Linked DNA regions of Struthio camelus. The protein of the gene in region 2 purifies or fractionates together with the protein of the main gene of each other region. This does not show direct contact. Links are inferred from orthologs where the notes say so. Each region holds a gene or a part of one and is shown on either strand. Other genes may lie near its edges.

The links. The genes of interacting proteins can lie anywhere in the genome.
Region 1: the proteins of SAE1 (region 2) and SUMO3 purify together in Homo sapiens (affinity purification with mass spectrometry; 3 studies listed by BioGRID and IntAct, with this or other methods). This does not show direct contact. The link is inferred for Struthio camelus from reciprocal best matches to the Homo sapiens genes SAE1 and SUMO3.

The regions. Positions count from the first base shown.
Region 1 is NC_090950.1:3,427,384-3,436,984, forward strand, and holds the start of SUMO3 (small ubiquitin-related modifier 3), read right to left. Parts: upstream 4,162-9,601; 5' UTR 3,989-4,161; coding exon 3,968-3,988; intron 3,218-3,967; coding exon 3,089-3,217; intron 1,159-3,088; coding exon 1,087-1,158; intron 350-1,086; coding exon 287-349; 3' UTR 1-286. Other genes in the region: PTTG1IP (pituitary tumor-transforming gene 1 protein-interacting protein), read right to left, coding at 8,465-8,508. UniProt on the Homo sapiens protein: Ubiquitin-like protein which can be covalently attached to target lysines either as a monomer or as a lysine-linked polymer. Does not seem to be involved in protein degradation and may function as an antagonist of ubiquitin in the degradation process.
Region 2 is NC_090957.1:305,761-315,451, forward strand, and holds the start of SAE1 (SUMO-activating enzyme subunit 1), read right to left. Parts: upstream 4,204-9,691; 5' UTR 4,132-4,203; coding exon 4,031-4,131; intron 1,520-4,030; coding exon 1,408-1,519; intron 1-1,407. Other genes in the region: ZC3H4 (zinc finger CCCH domain-containing protein 4), read left to right, coding at 4,813-4,973. UniProt on the Homo sapiens protein: The heterodimer acts as an E1 ligase for SUMO1, SUMO2, SUMO3, and probably SUMO4. It mediates ATP-dependent activation of SUMO proteins followed by formation of a thioester bond between a SUMO protein and a conserved active site cysteine residue on UBA2/SAE2.

The DNA.
Region 1 (9,601 bases), on a different chromosome or scaffold from region 2:
TGTAAAGAAAAAAGATAACAGCAGGTAGACAACGCATATTACTTCATCTGAACTTAACTCAAATTGGCCCAATTTAAGATATCCCTGCAGATAACGTTTTGACTTGCACACGCAGTACGTCAAAGACAAGAAAGCAATTCTGGTAAATGTCCTCTTAAGTTTGAGAAGAATCCTGTGTGATTGGCATGTTCATTTGTTTACTATTTAATAGCAAATCCAAGGACAGATGAGGGAGTGAGGTCTGATAAGGATCCTTAAATTCCTCTTCTCAAAAGGACGGCATTTCTTAACACACTCCACCCGTCTGCTGTTGAAACACATCAATAGTGTCTTCATCTTCCATCTCCAGCTGTTAGATTAATATACAAAGTTGAAAACTTGAAATATACAGCTATATAGTTACAAAAGCACTCAGTTCTCTATTCTTAAACAGTGTCAATAATTAAGCAATTAGAGTGCCATTTTAACACTGTATGAAACCTTTTCCATCACTCACTCCAGAGAGGGCATCACCTCTTTAAGTCAGGAAAGCTAAGCACTTTTGGCAAACAGTCCAAGGCCACACTTCAGCCAGCTGCATGCAGAATATAATCCCATAACCTCCTCTGTCTTTATCAGAGTATCACCAAGACTGAGACAGGTTTTAGAAGCACACTTGTTGATGAGACCAAACTCAACAATTTAGCATCTTTTACAGCAAAGCTCCTCAGCCAAGTGTATTTCTTCTATTCTTGCTGCAGGCCTTGTCAATGCAAGAAATTCCCCAAGTTCTCAGCATTACCAGTGCTGACAGCAACAGCAGCCTTTAGGGGCAATAATTGCTCAAATCACGCTGAAGCAGAAGTAGGAAGACAGAGTCCCAGCACTACTCAGGTGCCGGCTATTTCAGCACCAATGCCGCCACCACCAGTAGTGAAAAGATTCAAAGGAAAAAATATGCCAGCCTAGAGCAACTATTTGGAATGTATTAAGCTTATGACAACAGTTTTGCAATCAAAATGACTCTGAAATACTTTGATCTATGCGCAGACAATCAAAACATTTTTATAGCAATCTGCAATAAAACTGAAGGTTTTTTGGTCATACCTGTGCAGGTGTGTCAGCTTCATTAATTGGTTGTCCATCAAATCTGAATCTAATCTGCCTCATTGACAAGCCCTGCAAGTTTACAGTAACAAAAATGTGGTGTCTCATTAATTGTTGAATCCAAACATAACATTTACTCACCTACTGTCAGATACTAACAAAATTAAGACTCAAAAGATTTAAATAGACAGGAAACTTACTCCTCTATCTTATTACACAAATTACGGAAGCAGAGCTATTTAGATAATAGTAGAGCTATTTAGATTGATTTCCCAAGGCAGCTATTGCCACAGCAAGGGCACTATATGAAATAACAGGTGTTTGTTTGGCACCTGGTTCGGATCTAAATTCTAGTACCCCCTGCTCTGCAAACTACAAATATCAAAAAGTCATTGACAAGCAAAAAAGCAACATTTAAGTTCAAGAACGGCAGAAAGGAAGAAAGAGTAAAGCGAAGGAAAAAAAAATATCAACAGGAAGTATATAGAAGAGATCAACCAGAACACAATTCTAGAAAGTCTCAAAAGACAGGACAGAAAAGAAGGACAATTGTTTCTTACACAGTCAGAGAAGTAACAGTATTTTAAGCTTATCTGACAGAAAATGCTGCCAAAAAACTGTAATAGCTACCTTTTTGGGCAACTAACTACCAACACTGACTACCCATATTTAAGTCGCAAGACTTTGATTCGTGCCAGGCATCCTCTCCCAACTCTAGTTCTTTAATCTTCTGATAAAGAAAAGGAAACATGAAGCAAAGATTGTCTGAGGGGAAAAAAATTTGCAGGCCTTTATGCAGATCTTTACTTAGAAAAGTCATTAGAAAAAACACCAGGGCTTTTAAGTGTTAGACTTAACTCAGTGGGTTAACGCTGCCTTTAAAATCTTCATTGAATTCACAAGGGAATCATGTTATGACAGCGTTGAATTACATGATACAGTCTTTATTCCCTGCCTCAGTGATCTACGTCTTTGTTTTGACCTCTAAAATCCTTTGAAAACCCTGTGCTACTCAGACATGTTTCCAATCACGCATACCACCATCGCACAGATGCAAAAATTCCTCATGCATCTCTCAAGATGATACTGTATGTAGCTCTTGTTCCCAACCTGAGTGGCATTTTGCTCCATCAAGCATGAGAGGGCAGAACATACAACTCAGGTGAGCAAAGAAAGGATCCCACATATATTAGATACGGCGATGCCTGCAAACAAAATTTCACTCCACTTCAGGAAGGGTAGGAACGCGAACGGCTTTCATTTTCTGTGCCACCTAATACGGTGTAGAAGTAGTTCAAACATTCAGAACTACAGACTCGAGAAGCAGGCTATCAGGGTAAATCACACTTCCATATAAATGGGGACAGCACCAAAGAATAGTCTCCTACACAAAGCAGCTTCCTGCCACCTGTAGAGTACAGCAATCAAAGCTGTGGAGCATGCAAGGGAAGGTAGGTGAAGGGAGGAGAAAAAAATTTGTAAACAAAAAACGTCACAGCATGTTACAATTTGTTTTCCTGCCATTTTCCAAACGGAAAATACATATACATACTGTATAAAGTCAATAAAGATTTTACAGATAATAAAACTGTGGGTTAGGAAGCTAAAGATTCCTACTCTCCCACAGAAAATCAGTCTGAGCTAAGATCGGAACTCAAGAAATTCTGACTCCTGGTATCGTCATGGGAAGATTTTAGAAATCCAGAAGCACACAGCGAGGAAGGGGCGACTTTCATCAACTCTAGCGTTAAAATCTTTTTTGTCGGTTAAGTTTAGGAGTCTGGACTTAGCATCCTAAATCTTTACTCTCTTGCGCTTCTGTACAAACAGGCATATTCACTCTCTGATGCATTGATGTTTATAATGTTCCAGAAAGAAAAACAGTGGAATTTCCATACTGCCAAGGGCTCTTCCTTATGAAATGATAAGAGTCCCAAGCAGCATGAAGAACCCTCTGCAGAACCGGACCATAACCTGCAAAAGCAGTGTTTGATGTACATACCTGCCTCTCGCAATAAGCCTTCATCAGCTTGCTTAAAGGTGTGTGCCTTTTTATTTTGAACTGGACCACAGAACCATCCTGGCCAGCAACTTTTAAATTGATGTGATCATTCTCTGTTTTCACTCCTTCCTGAACAAAAACAGACAAAAAGGCAGAACACAGTGAGCACTGCTTTGAATAAAAGTGATCTAAAGGCTCCATTACAAACAGTAACAAAGCTCTCAACCACCAGAAGCTTTTCTTCCTGTTTATAAAGGGAGGATGCTCTCCACAGCACACAGAGGGGGGGGGGGTTAAAAAAAAAAAAAAACCTGCACGGTTTTGCAGTCATCATTTCAGGTAATAGGGGAAAAGCAAAAAACTTCACGGAGCAAATCCCAGCACACCTACATACCTCTGTAGGTAACAGAGGTCATTTCTGTTACCTGGATGCCCCCTGAAAATGAACTGCAGAGACATGCAGCCGTACAAACTCCACTCACGTTCCCTTCACTTTTTCCCTGTTTACGAACTCTGCACGCTCCTAGCATTGCACAGATAAGAACGACCGTACTACCGAACAATTTTCCTCAGGAAAGCCCCCGATTTTGCAGTTTCCACTCAGCGGCGAAGTTCAAGGGACTTCCGCAGGACCCCACTTCCCCGCCCCCTCCCCCCGCTCAGCCCTCCATCTTGGCCCCCTCACGCCACCCCGGGTGTACGCGTGGGGGGACCGGTCACGGGGGCGGGGCGGGGCAGCGTCGCCCTCACCGGGACACCCTGCCCCGCCATCCTGGCAGCCCCCGCCGAAGAAGGCCTCCCCCCTCCGGCCGCCTCAGGCCTCGCCCGGCCGCGGCCCACCGGGACAGCGGAGGGGAAGCCAGGTCCGCCGCGCCTCACCTTGGGCTTCTCCTCCGACATGGCGGCGGGGACGGGACGGGACGGGACGGGACGGGACGGGGGGAAGGGAAGGGAGGGGAAGGCGGCGCGCGCGCGCCCGCGCGCTGAGGGGAACGGCCCGCGCGCTCGGCTCCCGCCGGCCGCCGCCGCCAACCGCCCGCGAGAGCGCGCGCACGCGCGCGCGCGCCCCACCTCACCCCCCCCCCACCCCCCGCCGCCGCCGCCGCCAGCAGCCCCGGGCGCCGATTGGCCGCCGCGCGGGGTCACGTGGGAGGCGATGGGCGCGCGCGCGCGCGCGCGCCGGGAGGACGCTGCCCCCTCGGCGGGCGGGGAGGGGGGAAGGCGGCGGCGCGCGCGCGCGCCCGGCCCGAGGCGGCTCTGGAAAGTGCGTCACGGGGCGCCGGAAGGGCGGGGCGGGCGCGGCTGGGCCGGTCGCGCCTCGGGGCCGCGCTGAGGCGGCGGAGGGGGGGGGGGGGGCGCCCCGCGGTGCCACACAGACGCGGTTTTGGAGTGGGCCGGAGCTCAGCCCCAGGCTTTGGGGGGGGGGGGGATCCCGCCTTGTGCCCTGCCCGCCCCGGAGGGCCGCAGGGCGGGCGGGTTCCCCCAGGGTCAGCGGGGATGGAAGGAGGAAGAGCATGCCCCGGCCCCGCAGCGGTTGTGTGCGCGGAGAAGGACCCTTTCCAGCCTCTCGGGCGGTGCCTGCTGTCCACAGCCCAGGTGACACGGAGCGGGGGGGAAGCGGCGCTGTTGGCCGGCCCCGCGCGTCACTGCTCACAGAGCTGGAGTTCACCTGCAGCCCAGATTTTATCTGGGTATTTTAATTACTTTCAGGAAGTCGGTTGTCCCTTCCAGTACCCACCTCTCCTATGAAAGAGCGCCCATCCCTTCCAGGGCAGCCCTTTGTTTGCCGGCCGCAGCTGCCCGCTCTGCCCTGCCCTGCCCCTCAGCCCGGCACCAGCTCCATCCTGCGCGTTTCCTGATGCGGGGCAGTCCTGTAGGCAGCAGTTGCACCACTGCACAGGTATGACCATCCCCTGGCTCAGAGCCAAGTTGCCCTTTGCACCCTTTTAATCTGTTCCTCCTCTGTTTCCCCCCCGCCCCCCCAACGCGTTCCCCAAGCGCACGTCATCCTTGGCCAGGCAGGCTGCGCTCAGCGAAGCGAGCTCTCACTCATCAGATACGCCGCTCACCAAACTGCTTTCCCCCTCTGCGCTGATGTCCCCCCCCAGCCCCAGAGCACGGCAAGCCCCACCAGCATGCAGAGGCCTCTCTGCAGGGACTCATTAATCCTCATGAAGGCTCCTTCCCAGACAGCTGGCTCCACTCTGCAGCCTCAACTTTGCATTCCCTATTTGTAAAGCACCACATTTAGGAGACGTTTTTTCCCCAGACAAACAGATCCCATTCTGCTAGTTCCCTCTCCTTTACAGAGGCAAAGGGGACCAAGAGGGGTGTTTTGTCTTCCAGTGGCTTTGAAGCCAAGAAGAGGGTTTTGGTTTTGCTTAGGAGCGCAAACTGACTGAAGCCTGCCCCGATCCCCTCCCCACATCCAGCTGACAATTCACATGCTCCTGCCAGGGCGGTTCCCGTACGGGCGTGCGTACAGGCAAATTTCCTCCTCCAGACCTGGGCAGGCGGCCCAGAGCAGCCCAGCTTCACCTCTTCACCTTCAACCATCTGAGTCAAAGGGGTTGCCAGCTTCTCAGCCTCATGTCAGCCATGTGATACATCCACACAGCAACAATCACAAGAACAAATCAAAAAATTAACTGGAGCTCCATCACAGGCTATTAGAGAGAGCGAGAGCGAGAGCACCTCTGAGTGAGAGGCTGGAGCCCAGAACAAGCACAGAGGATGCAGTGCTTCTGCCCAGCTGCAGTCAGACAGGACACTGATGACCAGAGCTCTCCTGGCAGGAGGTCAGGCCATCTGCTCGTCAACACATGTGAACTGTAGAAAGCAGTTATGCTTCATCCATGCAGGGAAGCGGCTCCCTGTGCAGGGCAGTTCCCTGTGCAGACAGGAGCAGACAAGGACAGAGCAGGTAATGATGCCTGGGTAGAGGACTCCATACCTGGAGGATCCCTGTAGCCAGGCTCCTCTCTCTAACCCGGCTGTTTTCAGAGGCACTACTGTTGGGTGCCAGGAATCAGGAGGGAGGGGGGCAGCATCAGTGGAAGCGCTCGGGTAGCCCAGAAGGCCCCACTTCACTGCAGATCAACAGGGATTATACTAGTCCCAGTCCTCAGGGGTCTCACCTGCCTCCCACCCACCCAACCCAGCAGGGACTGCTTGGCTCAGTGGGACGGGACACAGCCCATCACAACCTGTGAGAGGTAAAGGCAGGACGTATAAACCCTGGACTCAATACCTGCAGCGCTAACACAGCCCTACAGCTCAGCATCAGCTGCTTCCATATATTGCTCTTTACTAAAGAAAGCACCAACTGGACCCCTCTGTATGCTGGGGGACCAAAGCCTCTCCAGACCAGCATACCCAATTAAATACAAGTGACAACCAGGATCTTCATAACTGTTTCACTTGCCCTTGCCAGACCCCATGCTTAGGGTTTCCATGAGCATGAGACAGGTTGTACAAGGAGTTCTCAAATCAAGTGCAGGGCATGAGAGGATTTCTTAAGGCATTATTTCCCACACATGCACAGTTGGATACACTTTCCTGTCACCTCCTCCCTCCTCAGCTCTTAGAGGACTTATGGCTCTTGAACTCTCCCAAGCTTGGCCAAGATGAACTGAGCAAACAGGAGCCTTGCAGCCCCACCAAGGGCAAGACTGGGAAAACCGCCTGCATCACCCCCAGGACAGAGCAGCCATCAGCCATGGCACCCGCTGCCTCATACCCAGCCAATCCAATGGACTAGGACAGAACATGAAGAGAAAGCACCCGTAAGAGCGGGGCAACCCCAACTCTACTCTTTGTAGCCCTCCTTCTTCTGGTGCTGCTCTCTGAAGCCTAGTTCACAGTAACAAGAACTCAGCTCACATACCAAGATTCATTCAGCACTGGCCGAGTCATTCACGTACTGTTTCCATCATCTGAAGCAGAGTATCTTTTGGCAACAGACACAAAGACAGACTAGATTAAAAGTTACCTGCAAGTCTTACATCTTTGTCCAGTCCTGGCAAAAGCAAGTCAGATTCTTGCACCTACTGAAGAGCTCTGTGCAATCACAGCACAGCTCAGGAAAAGTATGGTTTCACGGATGGTTTAGTTTAACAAGTCCAGAGTTCAGCTCAAACTGTGTCCCGCAAGACCAGAGGGCCGTAAGTTCAGTAATTCAAATCAAGCATTTTAGGCAAGCCTCAGGAGAGAGGGGAGGATCTGAACATTTTCCCAGCTTACTCCAGCCAGCAGTGTGTTATGAGACACAGTTCAAGCTCTCTCAGAAAGACCTAACTCATTTCATAGCAAGCAGCTCATCCTCCCACCACCTGACTTTTCCAGGACACTCCTAACATACATCTGGAACCGACTGACTTCTAGTTTCAGACCCAGAGAACCAAGTCCAAGAAACTGGACTCTGTTACTGCACTCCATCAGCCAGCTTAGCAGGGCAAGACTGCCCTAGCCAGGGCAGTGTAACACAGTGAAGACTCTGTTGAATAGTTATCAGCAGCGTCTGCCAAGCTATACTTCACGTGGAAGCAGAATTAAATTCTTTCAGACTTGAGTAGTAATCAAATCAATTTAATACACAGCCAACATATTGCAATTGCATCCGAACCCTACAGTATTGCTATCGGCCTTGGCTGTCAGAAGCCCAAGAGAAGATCTGGAAAGGCACAGAGAGGTAGAAGAGTTGTAGAGTTTCCCCAGATTAGCTCTAAGTGAGAATGTGCAAGCGGGGTCTTCTCATGAAGGCCCAAGATAATCACAAGTTTGTGCTTTTTGAAAGGAACGCTAACGTGCACAGACAAGTACAGGCACTTGGAGTGACAGCTAAGGCCTTGTTCTGACCAACAGGTCAAGTAACCCTTGCTAGCTCTCACCTACACCAGGGGGAGGGAAGAGGGAGAGTCTCACTCAATGTGAGCAGATACTTAGTGAGGAAGGAGCAAGGAAGAAGCACAAGGTTGTTTCTGCCCTTGGCAGGGGACAAGGACAGTTATTTGCATTGTTTTGGACTAAATTAGCACCCCAGGGGTGAGTGAGAAGAAATATTCATGTGTTTAGTTCTCCAATATTGCCCCTGCACAAACAGAGCAAGTCTTCAGAGGGTACTCCAGACACTGCAATGGAAAAAAGAGCAAGGCTCATTTTCTCAGTTTGCTCTTACTACTACAGCAAAGCACTGGAGCAAACTGAGTATCCAGAGCGGGGATAACGGTGTCACTGAGCATTTGGTGCATCTTTTGTGGCAAGGGAAGCAGGAAGTGGCATCACAGTGATTTGCTTTTGGTAGGTGAAATCCAGAGTCCTTGTGGCTCTATGCAGGAGGGCACTGTTCATCTGTGCTGGGCAGATCAGGGGATGTTGTTAATTCTCAAATTTTGCATAAGGGTTCTCTTCCTTAAACAGGCCTAGAAGAGAAGAGAGATTCATTCAGACATCCAGGAGCTTACTAGGCGCTCCATTCCCATCAGCAGCAAGTCTAGTTCTTCCAGCACAAATAACAAAGAATTGTTATCATCTAACCTCCTGTCTTTTAAGGCTGCACGTACTGGTGCCCTTCTGAGAGGCCAAACCTGTTATTTGAGCTGTGAAGAGCTTTGCATGCAGTCAGCTGTATCCAACACATTTTGTTCTCCTTCTCTGCACAGCAGAGATCCATTAGGAAGTTCTGCCTGATGGCCAGCTCCTTTCATAGCAGTCCATGTAAAGCAGCACTACTGTTCTTTCAGAGAGTCCCTTCTGCATGCTCTATCTGTTGGACTGGACGTGGAAGCGAAAGGTCCAAACCCATCACAAGTCAAATTAAAGCCATTCTTAGAAGCAATTCCCCGCTCACATATTCCCACAGAATGGCAGAGAACAGAGCAAGGAACACAAGCCTGACTTTGAGCCACAGTAACAAACCTCTGTCACCAAGCCACTCTGCTGGCCGCTTTCCCAGCCCCGACACCTTTGAGGAAGAACACAGCCAGAAGGGGAGAGATTTCAGGATGCAAATTCTGCAGCCAGGCTGCAGCAAGACAAAGCCTTGGCATGGCAAGACAGCAGTGGAGCGTGGCTCTTCCATTTCCAAGTGTAGGTGTCTCTCCACGAAGTCCTCCTTCGGGTACAGCTTTGCCTGCTCTGCCTCACACCACAGAAGCCAGCCCAGTCAGAAACCCCTCTGCGTTCTTCTACCCAACCTGGCTCTGCAGCAGGCAGCAGTTAGAGATGGAGAAAGGGTTTCTAGCTTTCCCCTGCAGGCCCCCCGCCCCTGAAGTCAGAGACCACTACACTCTCTGTGCATGAGTCAAGACTACTCTGCACTCAGCAGCCACACATGCAACACACTGGGAGGGCACTTGGCAGCTCTCTAGTGAACAGGCCCAGACGGCCAGGCAGTAGAGATACTTCCATCGGCTCTGGAGCAATGCCTGAAGGATAGTGCAACCCCATAAGTCTATGTAGTCCCCCGAAACTCAGGGTGGACTAAGCTACCTTCATAGGAATTCTCTGCTTGCA
Region 2 (9,691 bases):
GACCACTGCCTTCTCCAGGAAGGAAGGGCAGATTTGAGGTTTTTAAGATGGGACCATTCCAGCAGATACTATTGCACAGTGACCGCTTGGATCCCTCCTTACGTGTTCTCCCTTCATAACCCTTCAACTGCACCAAGTATTCATCTCTGCTTCAAGAACAACAGAGGTCTCCACGTCCGCTTTTCAGAGGAACAGGCAGGACAAACAGCAGGCAGCACCCTCACATTTTTTGCACTCCTTGCTCCCAGGCCGATTCTCAGACCTTGCAGATCACTTCGCCCGCTCCTGAGCTCAGAGCTCCCTCTTGTGCCCGAGGAGACACCAAGCTACCACAGCGGGCACCACGGCTGCAGCAGTCCGGCACTGCGACCTAGCGGCTGCACTCACTGGAAAAACAAGCAGCCGCAACTGAGGCTCCTGCACAACCCCCCCCCCCCCGGCTCTGTCTGGCCCTGGAGCAGCCAGTACTGCCACAAACTCGCACCAGAAACACTATGCATACAAAATCCCTCAAATGCTCATCCCTCAAACCCTGCTGAAGGCTCCCTGAGCACCTTACACATCCTTGCCTGCGCCTCTTCCAAACGCAGAGGAGGGTTTCGTACGCTGTGCGGCACCTACCAATTTCAGTCATCCCTGGGCCTCCCATCTCCTGTGACAGCAGAGTGAACTGCAGGGCACAAGGCTCTGGACCACGAATAGAAACCTGCTGCACATTTGACAGAGGCAGACTAAACGCTCAACCACAGACTCTATTTAGAGGCCCGGGTTCCATGCGATCCGAGGCACGATCCGAGGCACGAGCGGAGCCCTAGCTGCTTTTCACACACTGTTACAGTCTGTTAAACACCTGCAAAGCCCTAGATAAACACAGAAAGGGGCTGTTCAGACCAAGATAGAGGGGAGAGGCCTGGGTGGAGACCTGCTAGAGAAAGGCCACACACTCCCAGAAATAAGCGCGAGACTATGAGAACAGGCTTCTCAGATCAGGGTACACAGCCACATGTCTGCAGGCAAGATAGCAGGGGAGAAACTGGGGAGCCTGCAGCTCAGCCCTCAGCTTGACAGAGTGCAGATGAGTACAGTCTGCTTATGCCTCTCTCAAATTTAATTCCATGCTTGTCATAAGGAGGCGCACCAATGACTAAAAGTGCACGGGTATGGGATTTCTCTCTACAGACACTACATGCCCCCTATACCCCCTCCCCAAAGACATACACATACACACACCCCCACCACAAAACCCCTACTCCAGTAAGCAATGAAGAAGTCCTCGAGCTCAGACACCCTACCCCCTCCACACACCTACCAGTCCCCAGTAGGCTTTGGGAGCTTTGCTAACCATCCCCTCACCCCCCACTGGCCAGCACTGCAGCCACAAGGAAGAGAGAAGCCTGAAGCTCCCACCTGCTGATGGTCCAGCATGGTCAGGCCTTTGACACCTGCCAGGATGAGATTCTTTGCCACTTCTGCTCCAAGGCCTTTCATCCCCACCAGCAACACCCGGGAAGCTCGTAACCTGCAGTGGAAACACTTGGTCACCGTTAACGGCTTCACTGGAGCACCACGTCCCCAGGGAGAAGGGGAATCAACCACAGTGCTCACGGACAAAACACAACAGGGTGAAAAATACATTCAATGACCAAAGAGGAAAGCTGCGCTAGTAAAGTAGCATCCCTGCCACCAGGGATGGAACCACTGCCTCCGAAATCACCATCACCTCCCAGTTGGGAAAACTTAACTAAGGAGGCAGATATGCATGCTGGGCATTCACAGAAGTCCTGAACCGTGGGGAAAGTTGAGCTACAGCCAAATATTCACTTGGCCCAGGCAAAATGGGAGAAGCCCAGGATCATTACAGGAGAGCCAAACATGTCTGGCAGGACCTGAAAGTTTCACAGCAGCATCAGGGAAAAGAGTAGAGGTATAGATTTAACCACGATACCTGATACGGAAGAAAAGGAAGAGAGATGGGAGCTGTTGGGCGTCAGTAATCCAGATAATTCACAGAAAATAGATTATTTGCAGCTTTGAAAGAGAGACTAAAATCAGTATGCACTGATAAGGCCTCGTATTGCTTTTCAGAGAACAAGGGGTGGACTCACAGGTTCACTACAACACCACAGTTTGAGGTTCCTAATAGCAAATTCTAATAGTCCAGCTGAGGCCTGGACCTCAACCTCACCCACTGAAGGTGCACTGGGTTACATGCCAACTGATTGGGATATATATAAAATTAATAGCATGATATAATTAATGGAAATTATTTCTTTGCAAATATTTATTATGAGACCAAGTTAATGTATGCAATTTCTAAGTTCTCAGAATAGCTGAATGCTGACTTTCCTTGCTTTTTAAAATCAATTTAAATAATTTTTTCCTTAGCATTCTTTTGATTGACTAGGTTGCATTGTTTTTCTAACAAAATCAAGTTTATTTAGACTACCTTAATAAGTAATCATCCAGAGTGTTAAATAGAGTGGCTCTATCATGTAGGTCAGTTAAGTCAGGAGGTCACTGATGGGTGCTTTTTGGCCTCACGGTCTATTTCCATGCTTGCTTTCACTCTGCATCTAGCAGCACCATTATATTTGTGCCCCTATTTCAGGTCCGCTCCATCTTCTCCCATACACATACTATTGCTATTTTCAAGGTAACATCTAAGAAATTTAAAGCTGGCAGAAACCTGGACAGGCTGCAGTAAAGGGCTGCAAAGATAACTTGAAAGCTGAAGAGGCCTCACAGAGAAGATATGGGCTGAATAAGAGGCTCTTTAGCAGAGAACCAGCAGGTGGAAGCAGATGCTCGGCAATCCCAGCTGGGAATGAATGAGAAGACTTTAACAATAGAAACTAAGTAGTGGATCAGACTCTCTTGTAGATACGGTCAATATTTTTGTTATCTTCAACCTAAGGAGGCACGATTTTCACCAAACGTGCATTATCACTGGGCTCCAGTTTGGGTAAGATTTTCCAGCCTGAACTGTGCAGGAACTGTGAGGAACTAGGGACACACAAAGGGGTACAGCTTACAGCTCTCACCAGCCTGCTGCACAGCGACTGTGTGTGGCTGGAGAACCAAGCAGTCTCCCAGGCAGCTGCTAGCCAGGGCTCCCACATCTCTGTCAACACTGTCCTACATGTGTGATGCGTGCACAAGCAGGGCAACTGCCCAGGATTTCCACAGACGAGGTTTAAAACTTCTCTCAGGGTGCCAGCAGCAGCACAAAGATCGACATCTCACGCCGGGCCACCACAGGGTTTTTCTCCTGCCCTTCTGCCACCATCTCCCTGAGCACCTCCTCCCACTTTCCCACCCCGTATGCTACCCTGCCACCCCCTGCAACACCAGCCACTGCCTCCCAAACTGGCAGCTTCCTTCCTGGGGCCCCCATTTCCCCAAACCCCTCTCCCAGGTGCCCCAAGCCTTGCCTCCCCCATCTCCTACTGTCCCAACCCCATCTCCTCCTTCTTCAGCTCCCCAGAGCCCTGAGACTTCTAGAGACCTTCTAGACCTCCACAGGCTCCTATAGACCTCGCATGCCCCCATACACACCACCAGCTATACAGACCCTTCTCAAGCCCCTGCAAACCTCCTGCAGATACCCCACAGTAACTGCGGTCACTGCATTAGGGTCCCCCCCAAGCCCCTACAGGCCCCTACCACACACTGTGAGGACCACTTAACCCATACAAGCCCCCCCAAGCCACTACAGGGCCTCCTCAAACACTGTAGAGTCCCCCAAACCCCTGCAGAGCCCCCCCAAATACTGCAAGGCCCCCATCAACCCACGCAGGGCCCCCCAAACCGCTGTAGAGCCCCCAAACCCCCACAGAGCCTCCCAAAATGCTGCAGGGGCCTCCAAAACGCTGTAGCCCCCCCAAACCCATTCAGCGCCCCTCCAAATCAATACAGCCCCCCCAAATGCCGCCGCCCCCCCCCAAGCGCTGAGGGACCCCCGACACCTACAAGGGCCCCCCCGCCCGCAGGCCCCTACAGCCTCCCCCGAGCCGCCCCCCGCCTCGCTGACCGCTTCTGGGCCTCGAGCCCCCAGAGCCGGATCTGCCGGTCATACTGCGCCGCCTCCTCCTCGCTGATGCCGCCGGGGCCGCCCTCCTCCTTCTCCACCATCCCGCCGCCGCCGCCTCACGGCCGCCGCGCCCGGGCGGCGCCCCCTGGCGGCCCGCGCGGGCGCTGCGCGGCGCCCGGCACCGCGGCGCGCCGGGAGGGGAGGGGGGGAAGCGCCCCGGGCCGAGCGGCCCCCGCCGCCCCGCGCCCCGCCCGTATCCCCCCCCGCCAGAGAGCCGCTCCGAGGGCTCGTCCCGCCTCAGCGGCCCCCTGCGCGGGGGGGGCGGCCGCCGCGCTCGGCCTCGGCGCCGCCTCTCGCGCGCTCACTCGCGCAGCTCCCCCCCCTCCCGCCGCGGTGCACTTGGTTCTGCCCGACCTCTTCGGCACTTTCCGCCAGCGCTCGGCTGCGTTCGGAAAGTTCCGCCTCCTCCCGCTGCCCCTCGGCGCTTCGGCTCGGCCGCTTCCGCCATCCTTCGGCAACCTCCGGCTGCTTCCGCGTCCGGCCGTGCGTGCCGCGGCGAAGGGGGAGGGGGGAGGGCGTTCGGCGGCGCTCGGGCCTTTCCGGCGGCGCTCGGGCCTTTCCGGCGGCCGTGTGGGGCGCTGCCTCGGCGCGGCTGCGTGCCGGCGGGCGCCATTTTGTGTGCCTTCCCGTGGAGTGCGGGGCAGGCGGAAAGCCGGGCCGTGCCGACCCCCGCTCTGTACAGTGACTGTGCCCCGTGTGCTCCCCCCTCTCCCCCCCCGCCCATGGCCGTGGAGAGCCCGAGTGTCCCCCCCGCCGCCGCCGCCTCCCCCCCCAGCCCGCACTCCACCCCCCCATCTCCGTCCTGCCACCACCACGACAGCGGCAGCTGCAGCCTCCCCCGGCCGCCGCCGCCGCTCCAACTCCACCACGGCCCGGACGAAAGGTCCAGTAACCGCCTCTCCCGAGAGCCTCTCTGTCTGTCTGTGTCTGTCTGTCCGGCTCGCCGGACCAGGTTTGGGGGGGGGCGGGCAGGGACGGGCCGCGGGCGACCGGGAGGAGGTGGGGGGCCAGCCGGGGCGGGGGGGTCCTCGGGGCCCGAGAGCCACCGGCCCGGGCGGGGGGACAGGGTCTGAGGTGAGCGGGGGAGCCAGGGCTTAGCGGGGTGCAGGCCCGAGGCGGGCAGGGGGGTAGGCCCGGCCGGGGGGCGCAGGGCTGGGGGCGAGAGTGTGCAGGAGCGCTCGGGGGGTCCCCAGGGCCCGGGCCGAGGAGGAGGAGAGGGGCGAGAGCGAGGGCTGGGGCCAGGCAGCGAGCTGGGGGGGGGGGGAGCGCAGCGCTGGGAACAGCCGGGGGACTTGGGGGGGTGGTGGCAGGGCCTAGGAACAGCCGGGGGTCTGGGCGGGGGGGGGCAGGGCCTGGGAACAGCGAAGGGGCCGGGGGGGAGAGGATCTGGGAAGAGCCAGGGGGTTTGGGGGGGGGGAGCGGGTCTGGGAAGAGCCAGGCGGCCGGGGGGAGGGGGCCGAGGCTGGGAAGAGCCAGGGGAAGGGGCTCAGGCAGGGGCCCGGTGGGGGCGCGGGGCCGGGGGCAGCGCAGGGCCGGGGGGCCCCAGGCAGCGGGGCGTGATGAGGGAGCAGGCCAGGGGCTGGTGGGCAGCAGGCCCAGTTGGGGCTGAGGGCCGGAGCAGGGAGCCTGGGCTGGGGGTGGCTGCGAGGGGATGGGTCCCCACTTGCTGGGCAGGGTCAGGGGAAGGCTTTCTGGGGTCCTTAATGAGGTCTTTAATGACGTTATTCTCTTGGGCAGCACTGGCCTCATTAATGTCCCCTTTGTCTTCAGCTGCTTCTTAAAATTTCCTGGCTATGCTGGGGCATTAGGGAGTGCGGCCTGGGCAGAAAGGCGCTGGGGTTGCAATGTGGAGCTTTCTAGGCACTGGCATGGTATGGGATGTGTTGAGTAGTGATACCCTTGTTTGCCCTCCCTCGTCCCCTTTATATAGAAAGACTCACTTCCACAGCTGGAATCTCAAGTGGTCCCATTATGTCAAGGTATTGAAAAGTTTAAAATCCCCCAGGAAACCCTCTTTCCTCTTTTCCTCAGAGATGTATGTAAAGCACCTTCTCCCTCCCCCCAAAACATAACTTCAGCTGTTTCCTTTATTAGACTTTATTAGCACTTTTTTATTGGAAACCCTATAGCCAGAAAGTATTGTGTAGTGCACAAAAATAAACAGCTTAATCATATATGTTTGTCTGAAAAAAAAAGAGAGGTTTGCCCCCTTCCCACTCCCCTGGAAGGCAGGTGTGCGGTACAGAGAGCTGCTTTTATACATTAGCATGCCTTTGTCTCTAAGGAGTTTTGTTTTTCCTATGATGCAGGGTTGGGTTGGTAAGTATTCTCTTTTATTGAATAATTAAATTATACCTTTTTGTTTCTTTCCCCCGCACCAAAAAACGTCCTGAGATCATCTTTAGGATACGTTTCATGTAAGGAATGAGTTAATACAATGTGTGTACAAACCAAGCAGAATTCTCCCCCTTTGTAATGACTTGACTGATATAGAGTTGTGCACCCTGCCAGTGTGAGTGTTTAAAAAAAAAGTCACAAAAGCACACAATTTACTCCAAAATATGTCTGTTGTGACGTTTCCTGGTGAAGTAGCACTGAGATACCTCAGTAAAAGTCATACCACTCTGACCCTTGGTGCCATCTAGACATAGGATGTGGATCCATTACTTTGTCTACAAACTCCATCCTCATTCCATTACGTTGACAGTAAACAGGCTACCCCTGGGTGCAGGTCTGCCCATAAAACAGAAAAGTTGTTAAAAAGTTTTGTTAACAAACTCAGAAGTGTGTAAAAAAAAAAAAAAGGTGGCAAAGAAAGCACTGTTTCCCAAATGTCATCACACATTTTTCCCCCATCCCCATGTACAGTTTCATATTTGATAATTAGAGAAGTTTAAGCAGGACAAATAGCAACGTACAGTGTAAGCACCCAGTTTGTAAGAATCTCTTTAGTGTCCTGGATTTTCTTCTACTTTTCTTTTTGTTATTCCTTTGTTAAGCAGGTGTGTTATGAAAAGTTCTTACAAGTTTGTTCCTCACGGTTCTTTACATGATTCAAAATATAAGTAAGAACACCATGCACAGTATTTGGTATTTTCTCCCCTCAGCATATTATTTTTGACTCTTAGGTTATTCTTTCATGTAGAGCAAAAACACACACTTTTGCCCTGGAGTATTTCATCCAGTTTACATTTTCACGGGTGGAAGAAGCGATGTTAGTTTCCTGTAAGCACACAAACACAGTTGTGTGAATTTGTACTGTTTTGTTTCCCTCTTGTTTTTAATTCATTCACTAAAAAAAAAAAAAGTGTATACATCTGCTTAAAACCTTGACTATGAAATAATGCAAGCACTCGTTATAGAAAATAAGTAGAGGACTTTTTGTTACAAATTTTATTGTGTTTTAGAAAGGGGTTTTCATGCTGCAGTAAACATAAAACAATATCCAGTGATGTCTTTTAGTTTTATGCCTTTCTGTTACTATTTTAAGTGTTTATAGTGGGACCTTTCTCCCTTATGATCCACTGATCCACCTTCTACAGCTTAACTTTGCCATGAAGTCATAAAGCTTGACATTTTTTTTTCCTTTCATCAAAGGTCCACCGTCAGAGCTTGAAAATATTACTGGCCTGGCCAAAAAGTTTTTAGCTCTGGTAGTTCAGAAAGAGTGGGGCCTCATAGCATGGATTTTTCCCTAATGCATTCAATTAGTAGCTTTATTCTGCTAAACCTCTAAATTATTTTACTAAATGTACATACATGCTGTGCTTTATACTTCCACTCTTGATACGATCAAAATCCCAAATGGTTTTTCACTGTCAGCTGCTGATTAGTGTCATAAGCAATTTTTATGCATGTCAGGATGAGTTGGAAAGGGCAGATGAAATAGAAAAAAAGTAGGCTGTTGGAAAATTTTAGGTTAGTTTTCTGCTTTTTGAGGGAGTGTAGTATAACTGTATGAAAGACCCAGGAACTGCTCTAATGTCAGAAGTGCTAAGGGACTGTACTTCCAAGTTTAGAGGAATGGCTAAGCAATTTCATAAAGTGAATATACGTTTTTATTATATAGTTAAATATTAGCAAGAGGAGTCAAATCTCTAAACTTGGTTGGGGTTTCTTTTTCTAGTATCTTGCTACTCTTGTCCCTTTTTTAGTTAGGCAGAACCATTTTTAGTACTCCAGATTTGCTAGCGATTACCTTTTTAATCACGCAAAAATAGAGGCATGTATTTAACATTAGTACTGTGAACAGTTCCGTGGAGACCAGAGCATCTTTTGGTAGTAAAGTTAAGCGCATGCCAGAATTTTTTCAGGGGCATTTTTTAAATCTGTAATTGTTCAGCTGCAATCGGAAGACCTAGAGAGGTCAGTGTGAGGGTTCTCATCTGTGCTGAGCCAGGTATTGCCCTCTGCCTTGCTCCTTTGGTAGCCAGGCTTTGTTGTGCTAGTTAAAGAATGGCTAAAGCAAACCCCAGACCAAGTGTCTTTTTCAGTACCTTTGACATATCCGTTTCTGTGACATCAGCCTTGCAGTGGCAGTGAAAAGGACGTCACAGCTCAGCCTTACGATTTCACTGAAGGATCCAAAAGTAGGAATGGGAAGGAGCCAACTTCCAAACAAAAATGGCATTAATAATTAGCAGTTGAGTCAAGCACATTCCCAAATAAATCTTGAGTTGTGATTAAATAGCTGCTTGAAACTTTCCTTTAGTATAAATGTCTCTCAAAAAACGTGGGCTTTTTAGGGGCATAAAAGTAGAATTTGCCTTGATTGCAGACTAGAAGTGTCCGTGTCAGAAGTTATTTCAGGTTTAAGCGGCCTAGAAGGATGTCTCTCAAAGCTTCCTTTCTAGTGAATTGATAGAACATATTTGTTATACATGTCCCATAATGAAAGAACACTGAGTAGAAGATAGCTTTAAAAAAGGCTGATAAATTGTAATGATTTCTGCCCCAGTCCAAACAGTCTGTATATAACACAGTATGCCTCATTCTGGAGGCCTTGCTATCTTAAAAGTGGTTGTTCTTTTATTTCTTGGTGGATGTATTTTTCCCTGATTTCCACTTGAAATAAAATTTGAGATGGCCACACTGATGGAGCAAAGAAGAGGTTCAGCTTAGTTCCAATTCCTTTGGGGTTATTCTGGAATGTGTCAGTGTTTTGGTGAAAGAAGAGCTCTATCTCTGGACAGTTTTCTGTAGGTGAGGCTTAGGAGCGTGCAGGTGTGATGCTTTCTTTGGTAGAACGTGTTCTGTCTTAGCAAAGGAAGTTAGTGGGGGAGTACAGTTCTGGTATCTGCAAATGCTAAGCCGTTTTTGAAGCATTACGTGTGTGATTAATGACATTTAGCTGGAAGTGTAGGTTACTTTGAAAATCCTAGCCTTGTGTGCTCCAGTGAGGAGGGCCTCTGACAGCCTTAAATCAGAGAATAAGTGAAGACAATATATCTGTGTGAAAGAGCCACACTCCCCCTAAAGGAGGAGCAACACAATAAAAAAAGCAACACAATATCCCTGCCTTTTTGCACATACTACAAAACTGGGAGGGAATCTGTTTTTAAACCTTGTTCTGAAATAGGTTATAGCATAAATGGAGAGTTG